Linked DNA regions of Coturnix japonica. The protein of the gene in region 1 interacts with the protein of each later gene in a biochemical or structural test. Links are inferred from orthologs where the notes say so. Each region holds a gene or a part of one and is shown in the gene's direction. Other genes may lie near its edges.

The links. The genes of interacting proteins can lie anywhere in the genome.
Region 2: the proteins of ERBB2 (region 1) and FER form a complex in vitro, tested with the Homo sapiens proteins (2 studies listed by BioGRID and IntAct, with this or other methods). The link is inferred for Coturnix japonica from reciprocal best matches to the Homo sapiens genes ERBB2 and FER.
Region 3: the proteins of ERBB2 (region 1) and ABL2 form a complex in vitro, tested with the Homo sapiens proteins (3 studies listed by BioGRID and IntAct, with this or other methods). The link is inferred for Coturnix japonica from reciprocal best matches to the Homo sapiens genes ERBB2 and ABL2.

What each region holds. Positions count from the first base shown.
Region 1 is NC_029542.1:3,928,441-3,932,089, forward strand, and holds the end of ERBB2 (receptor tyrosine-protein kinase erbB-2), read left to right. Parts: intron 1-11; coding exon 12-59; intron 60-144; coding exon 145-283; intron 284-352; coding exon 353-475; intron 476-549; coding exon 550-648; intron 649-718; coding exon 719-904; intron 905-972; coding exon 973-1,128; intron 1,129-1,202; coding exon 1,203-1,278; intron 1,279-1,351; coding exon 1,352-1,498; intron 1,499-1,572; coding exon 1,573-1,670; intron 1,671-1,743; coding exon 1,744-1,914; intron 1,915-2,038; coding exon 2,039-2,294; intron 2,295-2,366; coding exon 2,367-2,710; 3' UTR 2,711-3,246; downstream 3,247-3,649. UniProt on the Homo sapiens protein: Protein tyrosine kinase that is part of several cell surface receptor complexes, but that apparently needs a coreceptor for ligand binding. Essential component of a neuregulin-receptor complex, although neuregulins do not interact with it alone.
Region 2 is NC_029547.1:42,306,661-42,310,309, reverse strand, and holds part of FER (tyrosine-protein kinase Fer), read left to right. Parts: intron 1-886; coding exon 887-1,060; intron 1,061-3,649. UniProt on the Homo sapiens protein: Tyrosine-protein kinase that acts downstream of cell surface receptors for growth factors and plays a role in the regulation of the actin cytoskeleton, microtubule assembly, lamellipodia formation, cell adhesion, cell migration and chemotaxis.
Region 3 is NC_029523.1:5,530,386-5,534,034, reverse strand, and holds part of ABL2 (tyrosine-protein kinase ABL2), read left to right. Parts: intron 1-685; coding exon 686-859; intron 860-1,941; coding exon 1,942-3,632; 3' UTR 3,633-3,649. UniProt on the Homo sapiens protein: Non-receptor tyrosine-protein kinase that plays an ABL1-overlapping role in key processes linked to cell growth and survival such as cytoskeleton remodeling in response to extracellular stimuli, cell motility and adhesion and receptor endocytosis.

The sequences.
Region 1 (3,649 bases):
TGTTCTATCAGGTGCACCATCAGGGATGAGGACGGCTGCCCCGTGGACCAGAAGCCAAGGTACCACCGTGGGTACCCCCCTCCCATAGGGGAGCATCAGGGGGTGACCCCATCCCCACATCCCCTGTCACCTCCCGTCCTGCAGCCAGGTGACATCCATCATTGCTGGTGTGGTGGGGGCTCTGCTGGTCGTCGTCCTTCTGCTCATCACCGTCGTCTGCGTCAAGCGCCGGCGGCAGCAGGAGAGGAAACACACCATGAGGCGGCTGCTGCAGGAGACTGAGGTGGGGGGGCTGGATGACCCTGGGGGGGGCTCAGAGTGTTGTCCCTCCTCACCCACTTGTCCCTCGCAGCTGGTGGAGCCGCTGACGCCCAGCGGGGCCCTCCCCAACCAAGCACAGATGCGCATCCTCAAGGAGACGGAGCTGAAGAAAGTGAAGGTTTTGGGCTCCGGCGCTTTCGGCACTGTCTATAAGGTGAGGGGTGGGAGGCACAGTCAGTGGGATGGCACCATCTGTGTCCTCACTCACCGCCCCCCCACCCCCCATAGGGCATCTGGATCCCCGATGGGGAGAGCGTGAAGATCCCGGTGGCCATCAAGGTGTTGCGGGAGAACACATCACCCAAAGCCAACAAGGAGATCCTGGATGTGAGTGCAGGGGAGGTGGGCACGGGGCTGGGGAGTCGGTGCCAACCTGACCTATCTGTGCTGCCTGCAGGAAGCCTATGTGATGGCCGGGGTGGGCAGCCCCTACGTGTCGAGGCTGCTGGGCATCTGCCTGACCTCCACGGTGCAGCTGGTGACGCAGCTGATGCCCTACGGCTGCTTGTTGGACTATGTGAGGGAGAACAAAGACCGCATCGGATCCCAGGACCTGCTCAACTGGTGTGTGCAGATCGCCAAGGTAAGAGAGGGGGCTGCTGAGGGGCTGTGGGGGGGATGTAGATGTGGGGCTTAACGCCTGCTGCCCAGGGGATGAGCTACCTGGAGGAGGTGAGGCTGGTGCACCGTGACCTGGCTGCTCGCAACGTCCTGGTCAAGAGCCCCAACCATGTCAAAATCACCGACTTCGGGCTGGCACGGCTGCTGGATATCGATGAGACCGAGTACCACGCAGATGGGGGCAAGGTGGGACATGGGGACGGGGCAACAGGGAGCGCGGTGTCCCCTGAGGGTCCCGCTCACTCCTCCCACCCACCCAGGTCCCCATCAAGTGGATGGCGTTGGAGTCCATCCTGCGCCGGCGCTTCACCCACCAGAGCGATGTCTGGAGCTACGGTGCGTCCCTATGGTGGCTGTGGGGGGCAGGGGGTCCCAAACCAGCACTTACCCCACATCCCCATGTCCTCAGGTGTCACCGTGTGGGAGCTGATGACCTTCGGGGCGAAACCTTACGATGGGATCCCGGCACGAGAGATCCCCGACCTGCTGGAGAAAGGCGAGCGGCTGCCGCAGCCGCCCATCTGTACCATCGATGTCTATATGATCATGGTGAAATGTGAGTGGGGGGGACATGGGGACGTGGGGGCCAGGACCCCAACGCCGCCCTCACGGTGCTCGGCTCTGCCCCAGGCTGGATGATCGACTCCGAGTGCCGGCCCAAGTTCCGTGAGCTGGTCACCGAGTTCTCCCGCATGGCCCGCGACCCCCAGCGCTTTGTGGTCATCCAGGTAATGGGGTCTCAGGGGGGTCTCGCCTTCAGCATTGCCCCAACGGGCACTGACAGCCCCCCCTGACCCCCAGAACGACATGATCGGGCTGCCCAGCAACATGGACAGCACCTTCTACCGGGCGCTGCTGGAGGAGGAGGACATGGACGACCTGGTGGATGCTGAGGAATACCTGGTCCCTCACCAGGGCTTCTTCAGTGCTGAGACCTCCACCGCGTACCGCAGCCGTATCTCCTCCACGCGGGTAAGGGCTGACCTGGGGCATCGTGCTGCTGCAGGGCGCACAGGGTGCAAGTTCTCTAATGCCACCCACAGACCCTATAGACCCCACAGCACCGTGCCCGACTCCGTGCCCTTTGCCTCCTCAGAGCACAGCAGAGACCCCAGCTGACACGACAGAGGGGGAGGAATCAGCCGCCTTCCCCTTCCCACCGCAGAACCTGGTGGAGGGGTCAGAGTGCCCCGTGTCGGAGGCTCTGGAGGTGGATGTTGGGGCCAAGGGAGCCCTGCCGAGCCCCCCAGCCACACGGTACAGTGAGGACCCCACCGCGCTGCCGGGGGATGAGAGTGAAGGTCTGGACCCTGAGGGCTTCACCACCCCAGCCCCACATACCACTATGCCAGGTAGGGCAATATAGGACCCTGGGGAGGGGGGCAAGGACCCTGTTTGGCTGCTGACATCCCTTTTCCCTGCAGAGTACGTGAATCAGGCTGGGGAGCTGCCGTCACCCCCCCGGCTCCCCTGTGCACCACCATCCCCACCAGACAAGCCCAAGGGCCACCAAGGCAAGAACGGGCTCATCAAGGACACCAAGCATCCCTTCCTGGGGCCCTTTGGCCACGCCGTGGAGAACCCCGAGTACCTGGCCCCCCCGGGGCTGCCGGTCCCCACAGCCTTCAGCCAGGCCTTCGACAACCCCTACTACTGGAACCAGGACCCCCCCAAAGCTGGGAGCCCTGAGGGTGGGCCCAGCTCCACGCCAGCAGCTGAGAACCCGGAGTACCTGGGTTTGGCTGAGCCTGAGGACGTGGCTGTGTAGGGCAGGGCCACATACGGACCCCCCCCTTTCACCGAGGCAGCTTGGGGAGGGACGGCACGAGGCCGGCGATGGATGTGGGGGCAGGACTGTCCCCAATCATGGGGGTGCCCTATACTGCAGGAGAGCATAGAGCACTGTGAGACGGCGCAGCAGCACAGGGGGGGGCACAGAGGACCCCCAAAAGGAGCCCCAAAGCCCCACTGAGATGGATGCTCCAACCCCACACGGTTCCTGGAGGAAGAAGAGCAGCATCAACAGGACCGGGAGCCCCATCACCCTGCTCCCCATCACCATACACCTATATACACCTGTATACACCCTGGATACACCTGGACCACGCTGCTGCTGTCCCAGAGCCCCCCACCACCCCTGTGCCCCCAGCCCCCTCCCCACCGGCGCCCAGCAGCGCTGGACACATTGACTTGCACTGAGCAGGTGGACACGGGGCTGCCTGGGCTCCTGCTGGGTTCCCGTTAAGCTGACAGTGTCACCTGGATGTATATTTCATCATTGTAGATGGTTTTTTTTCTACTCCACTTTGTCTGCGTGGTTTGCTCCCATCTCCTCCATCTGCTGCTCTCACTGCAGGGAAAGCCCTGATAGCCAAGAATGGGGCAGCTGCCCTAATCCTGCTTTCATTGCCTGGATCCCCCCCATGCTCTGCAGGGACACAGGGGAAGAGGAGCCACGTTTACCTCCATCCTTTATTCAGCGCTGGGCCCACAGACAGTACATCATAAATAGGGGATGGGCACCAATAGGGGATGGGCACCATTCTGCCACGCTGCCCTGGGCTCAGCTGCCCCAAGGGCAGAGTCATGATGTGGGGAGGGGGAGAGCCGGGAGCCTGGGAACGGGGCAGCAGGGGAAGCTCGTGGCTGTTCAATGAACCCTGGGGCTGTGGGGATGGAGCCAAGCAGGGGTTCCTATAACCAGCCA
Region 2 (3,649 bases), on another chromosome or scaffold:
AATAAATCACCTGCAGAAATACATTACTTTTATTACTTTTTCACCTTTGAGAGTGCTCTGATGAACTTTTCTATAACCACTCTTCTCATACAGATTTTTGATGTTATTTTTGTTGTACACAGCTTTGCGTTATGGTTTATGAAGTCATTTGGAAAGTTCTCTGTAAATGGGGAGATAAACACTTTTCAGACATAACCAGTAATCTTCAGTCTCTGGACTTATTTAAAGCAGTTATGCCAGCAGTTGCAAGAGTGCTTATCGGCTAAAGGAAATATTAAAGATCGCTTAGTGTGTGCAGGAATTAACTGTCTTTCATTTTGTTCTCTAAATTCCACTCTGGCTATTATTGCATACAGACAGAAATATTTGTATCTGTATGTATGTGTGCATGTGTATGTAAGTACATGCTCGTATAAACATAGACATGTGTGTTTGCGTATGACAAAAAAAAAAAGACTGGTGTGTAAACCAGGGCAAAGAAGTCATGTATTAGCCAGAGAAACTGTGGTTTCATGTGGTGGGAAAACAGAGTGCAGGAATGTGCTTGTCAGATGTGCTGAGGATGTGATCTGGAAAAAGTTGTAGAGCTTTCACGAGTGCTCAGAAGTGCAAAGCCTACCTGGTGGAGTGGCTGTCATCTGATGCTCCATTTTAGTCTCTGATCCTTTTTTTATGAGTTTACGAGTAAGTTGACTACACAGTTTTGTTACAGGAGAAGCAATTTTTCTAGAAGATTGCAAGTGAATTTGGGAAGTTCAGTTTTTTTATTTTTTTATTTTTTATTTTTTTTACTGAAAGCATCTTTTAGCAGGGTTCGTTTCCATTGTTTGGTTATTTGTAAGCCAGAATAAATGACTCTTCTGATTCTGTTTATTTCTTTTTACAGTCTTGGTTGCTTGTAGTACAACAAACAGAACAGCTGAGCAAAATAATGAAGACACACGCAGAAGATCTAAATTCTGGCCCTTTACATAGGCTTACCATGATGATCAAGGACAAGCAGCAAGTCAAGAAGAGTTACATAGGTGTTCATCAACAAATTGAAGCAGAGATGTACAAGGTATTTTATCAGATGGTCTTTATAGATTTCATGAAATTTTGTGTACTTAATTGTTTTAGATTTTCTTTTTTTGTTTGTTTGTTTGTTTTTTGTTTGTTTGCTTGTTTGTTTTTTGCTGTTGTAAAAGTTGTATCTGGACTGCCTAGTTCAAATTTTAATAAATTCCTACATGTTCTCTTTCTCCTTCTGCCCGACAAGGCAGAGAGGGAAGTCCTTCTGTATGAATTGGTTTGGTCAGTTAGTGTAGGAAATCCTCCTAGATGATTCTGTGTGACAATTCTCTGTTCCATCTTTTTTACTTCTCTCATTTTTCTGTAAACATCCACTGAAAGCTTTTATTATTGAACGATTCTGGCAGCTTGGACTGTTTTGGGTGGGAATGGGATTGTAATAGTAATTCTAAAGTATAAGTCAATTGTAAACCAAATATTAAGGTGGTAGGTGGAGCTCTTCAGGACCCTTTCTTTCTATTGTCAGTTGTGTCGGTGATATCGACAGTACTGTGTCTAGTCAGTGAAGCTGACAGCGATCCCAGTTTAACACAGGCGCACTGGGGGAAGATTAACAGCAAATGTGAAGAAACAGATTGGTAGTCTAAAAGGTCTCATGGGAAGAGAGGTATTTTTTTCTTTTAGCAGAGATTAGGAGATCTGGAGTAGCATAAAATATAACACATGAGTAATATAGTACAAATATGGCAGACTAGTGAGAAAAAGATTCTAGGGCAGATAATGAGAATAACCTTACTCTAAAACTAAGCATATATCACGTTAAATCTTTTGGCTTTAATAGGTCTGCTTCCATAATCTCTTGTGATTTTGGCTTCTTCCCTGGGCATTAACTGCGGGAAGTACATCCTTTTTAATTCATGATTGGTAGAGACTATCTTATCTGATAGAATTTCCAATCGAAGTAATCACGGGCACTTACAGAACAGTGAATCTGGAAATGCTCAGGATCAAAGGTGGAGAAAAAGTGAAGTGATAAACTTACAGAGAATTTGAGAAATTGAAAAAGAAAGAAAATACAATAAAGAGATGAAGGATAGCAGAAACAAGATTGCTGGGTATTCATATATACTTTTAAAAAAGCCTGTATGAAACATGTGTTGTTTTTTTTTGTTTTTTTTTTTTTCCTTTTAAGTTCACCCTGATAAAATGCTCTTTTTAAAAGAAAGGCAGTAAAACTTTTTCAACAAAATATAAAGTAGATCAAGTACTCCCCAAGTATTTGATTGCAGGCTATACTGATTTTAATCATAGGGTGCACAAAGTGCATGGTCGTGCGAGTTTTTTTCCATCCTAATGAATAAACTTGCACTGATTTTGTATGCCTTCTCTCCCCACTGCCTCCTTCTGCCTTACTGGCTTTCCTAAGAAGCATTTGGATAACATTTTGGTTAGATATAGTATGTTCTTTCTTTGTTAGCTGAAATTATTTATTCAGAGGCTCTGTGTCAATGGAACGCTTCCAGAATGGTTCCCAGAAGTCCCAAACACTTTCTGTGTTCTGTGGCATTAGATCCATTTCCATCATATGTGGTAAGAAAGTACTTAAAACTTCCCAGTTATTGGATAACTACATTATCCAAAACTTGTAGAGAATATTGTCTTTACATTTCTCATAATCTTCGGGGTATCTGGTAAAGAGCTGTTTGCCCTCTCATGTGGGCCCTTCTTTCTGTTCTAGAGACCTGTACAATGAGGAATTTTATTTTTGATGAAATTGTTGAGGGTAATGAAAGGCATGTTTTTTAATAAATCTTGAAGTTTATTTCAGTTCCTTTTGAGATATTATGTATTTTTTTTTTCTTTGTGATTTTTAAGGGGAAAAGTTTGAGAGATAGCACTAGTTAAGAGGGCAAATATTGTGTAAATGTAAATCAGGATTAGGATAATCTTTATCCACTTCAGCTGCTTAAGAGTAAATTGAGGATGGAGGTGCTTTGTTCTTCTCTGTTGGTGGAAGACTACATTATGATATTAATTTTTCTGGACCTTAAAGTTATTACAAAGGCTTTGTAGTATTGATGGGCTAATTTAATTTCCAGTTTTCTGTTAGATATATATGTATATGTATTATATGTATATGCTAGATATATATGTATATATTAATTGTGTTCACTGCTTGCTAACGGTGTTCTTTTGTCCATCGCTTAAGGTAAGTGTACAATAAAGGTTATTTCTCCTTTAGTCAATAATAACAGTAGTTGTGGATGATTTCACAGTACAAGTAAGTATGAGATGAGGATATGGGACAAATAGTTCACAATAATTCTTATCTTTGAATTGATCCTTTGCACACATGCCACAGAAGTAGGAACTATATGTAACATCATGTTAGCTCTTGAGGGGGTTTGCCTCAGTCTTCAAATTTTGCTCGACAGTCAGAATAATGGTACCTGGGCCTTACCTCACAAAGAAAGGAGGGAATGTGAATGCCAGTTTTCTTCATGCCAGTTTTTCTGTAGAACAGACTTCTTTTCCTATGCAGTGTGACACGTGCTTTCATTAGATTAAGTTTCTCTTCCATGATAGCCCATTGTGAGAATATATTGCTTTGTCAAAGATTTTACATTTCTTTAATATT
Region 3 (3,649 bases), on another chromosome or scaffold:
TCAAATGTGGTCAGCTGGGAGAGCTGTGATAGCAGGTAAATGAGCACAATTGCTTCAGCATCTCTCAACTATGAAGCCAATCCACGCACTTCCCTGCTATAGCAAAATCACACCAGGTGAAATTCAACCAGGGAGGATCTGTAACAGGCACATCAAGGGACCCACACAAACAACAACCTGGGGCTGTCCAGGAGGATTTTTGTTAGTGCTTTTAAATCACATACTCCGTGTTGGTACTGGGGAGGAAACGTGAAATCTTCATTGCTAATAGAGATACGCAGTGTTTTGCCTCAAAGCAGCTTAGGTCCAGAGTCAGAAAAGACTCAACTCTGGGGCAATTAACAAGAGGCACCTTATTTAGAAAGGGAAGAAAATGCATTCAGTGTGAAGTACAGCTCTTGAGCAACCTTAACCCAGCAGAGAGCTGGATATATACCAAACCCTCACTTGTACAGATCCTACCACCGTTTTTTGGCTGGATTTACAAAGATGTAAGTTAGAATTCTGTTTGTAAAACATGGTTTACCCCAAGCACCTCTGGGTTGGCATAAAGCTAAATTCACAACCTGCTTGCATTCTCAGTCATGTCTTCTTGCTGGTCTGGGACTACAGTAGAGATCCATATTTTATTTTCTTCTGCTGCTGGATTTGTTCCAACCATTCCTCTTACTGTTCCTCCTTACAGAGGTAGCAGAGGAGCTTGGAAGAACAGCCTCCTCCTCATCCATTGTTCCTTACCTGCCCCGGCTGCCCATGCTTCCCTCCAAGACAAGAACACTGAAGAAACAGGCAGAGAACAAGGAGAACATTGAAGGAACACAGGATACCCTGGAGCATTCGGCATCCAGCTCTGCACCAGGTATGAGCATGAGGGCACTCACACTGAGGCCGTGTGTTCTGGGGTAGATCTGCCCCCAGTGTCAATTGTCAGACAAGCAGAAGGGAACAGAACATCCACCAGCTGGAGATCTTTCAACCAAGTGTCCTGCCAGGATGGCTTGTAAAATGTCACGTTCTAGTCAAGGTAATGATTAATGGTGTTGGCTTCTTTCAGTTTGTGGCCTGACTGCAGGATTTAGATTACTGCGATAGGAGAGACAGGGCTGAGGATACTCTTCTTGGATTAGTGAGGCAGAGACACCTGAATGATGGCAGATTTGCTCCCTGAGGGAGCTGAGGGATGAAATGGCTCATGGGGAGGAGTCCTGCATGGTCTTGTTCTTCAGTGACAGAATGGTAGAGTGGGGTGGGAGCCTGGGCACAGTACAGGTGTCACTTCTCATTCCTGAGGAGGCAGAGGATCTGCTCCTTACAACTGAGATGGTGTCTGTACAGGCACAATTCTTTGGGTCAAGTAGACTTCTCCACTCTGCTCTCAGGACATGAAGCAGTTCTGTGGCATACGTGTATGTGGGGATTCAGCTTTCTTCAGCTTTTCATAAGCAGGCACTCAAGTGAACTCCCATCCAGCCAAAGTATTCCAGGCTGGTGCTTTGAGCAGCTGTGTCTTGAGGGCTGTTTGCAGCATCCTTTCAGTACATCCCATTGCATTTCTTTCTTTAAAATTCAATTTAACTGTATTTTAAAGATAACGACTTTCAAACTGAAACTGACAACTGACAGCATGAGATTTTCCCTTATACTTTGCGGTGTCTGGGGAAGGAGAAAAGAACTGCAGCAAGGGGGTAAGAAACTGAGAGAAAAGAGCAGCTTCACTTCCTTCTGACCTTCTAATCTGCCTCCCCAGACAACAGCCAGGTCACACATGTACAGTGTTAAAAAAGAAAGCAGACCAGCGCAGAAATACAAGTGCCACCTTCCTCTCTCAGTCTTTCTCTGCAGATCCTGTGTAAAGGAAATGTTGGGCCCTTAGAGCCTGCTGCAGGACAGGGAGGTGGAAATGGAAATGGATTTTGTGGATTCTTTCTTGTTTCTTCCTAGGTTTGATCAGAAGCACACAGCCAACAAGCGGGTCTCCCGCGCTGCCTCACAAGCAGAGGGACAAGTCACCCAGCAGCCTGCTGGAGGATGCCAAAGAGACCACTTTCACCAGGGACAGGAAAGGTGGCTTCTTCAGCTCCTTCATGAAGAAGAGGAATGCTCCCACGCCTCCCAAGCGCAGTAGCTCCTTCCGGGAGATGGAGAATCAGCCCCACAAGAAATACGAGTTAACGGGTAATTTTTCATCTGTTGCTTCATTGCAGCACGTGGATGGGTTCGCTTTTGCTCCCACGCAGCAGGACACAAACCTGGCACCACCCAAGTGCTACGGTGGGAGCTTTGTGCAGCGGACCTTCTACAACGATGATGGCACTGGTACCAGCAGCGGTGGGGGTGTGAGCACTGGTGGTGGGTGGTCTGGCATCACAGGTTTCTTTACACCGCGCTTGATTAAAAAGACACTGGGTCTACGACCAGGAAAGCCCACTGGCAATGAGGAAGCATCGAAGCCTTTTCCAAGGTCAAACTCTACATCTTCCATGTCCTCAGGGCTTCCAGAGCAGGATAGGATGGCAATGACCCTTCCCAGAAATTCCCAGAGGTCAAAAATCCAGCTGGAACGGACAGTGTCCACCTCCTCTCAGCCTGATGAGAGCACAGGGAGGGCAAACGACCTGCTGCCCAAAAGGTTTGAAGAAGGTTCCGCTTTGACCAGAGAAAGACCAAAAGCAAAACTCTTGGCAAGGGGTGCCACAGCTCTCCCTTTCCGAACCCCCTCCGGTTCAGAGGAAAAGGAGATCGCAGGGCTAGCAGCAACTCCTAAAAGCAAAGAAAAAAACAGCGTCCCACGGCAAGGGGCCCTCGAGGATGGCGAGAGAGCGGGGTGGTCCTCTCCGGTAAAGGCTGCAGCAATACTTCCAACCACTCATAACCACAAAGTGCCAGTCCTAATCTCACCCACTCTGAAACACACTCCAGCAGATGTGCAGCTTATTGGCACAGACTCTCAGGGTAATAAATTTAAGCTCTTATCTGAGCATCAGGTCACTTCTTCCGGCGACAGGGACCGGCCCAGACGGGTAAAACCAAAGTGTGCTCCGCCTCCGCCACCAGTGACGAGGCTCCTCCAGCAGCCGGCTGCCTGCTCGGATGCAGCAGAAGAGCTAAGCAACGCGGCGGGAGCGCAGCACGAGTCAAGTGAAGGGAGCAAGAAGGCAGCAGCAGCAGCAGCACCTGTCGGTGGGAAATCTGGGAGGCCCGCGATGCCTCCGCCTCAAGTGCCTCTGTCGTCATCTTCCACCTCCCCAGTGAAAATGGCCAACGGCACAGCTGGTGCAAAGGTAGCGTTAAGAAAGACCAAACAGGCAACCGAGAAAATCCCAGCAGACAAAATCAGCAAGGAAGCGTTGCTGGAGTGCGCCGACCTCCTCTCGAGTGCCATCGCTGAGCCCACACCAAACAGCCAGCTGGTGGACACGGGGCATCAGCTGTTGGATTACTGCTCAGGCTACGTGGACTGCATTCCGCATACACGCAACAAATTTGCCTTCCGGGAAGCCGTGAGCAAACTGGAACTCAGCCTGCAGGAACTGCAGGTGTCCTCAACAGCTGCTGGCATCCCTGGGGCAAACCCCGTCCTTAATAACTTATTGTCGTGCGTCCAAGAAATCAGCGATGTGGTGCAAAGGTAGCTACTGTCAATCTGGGT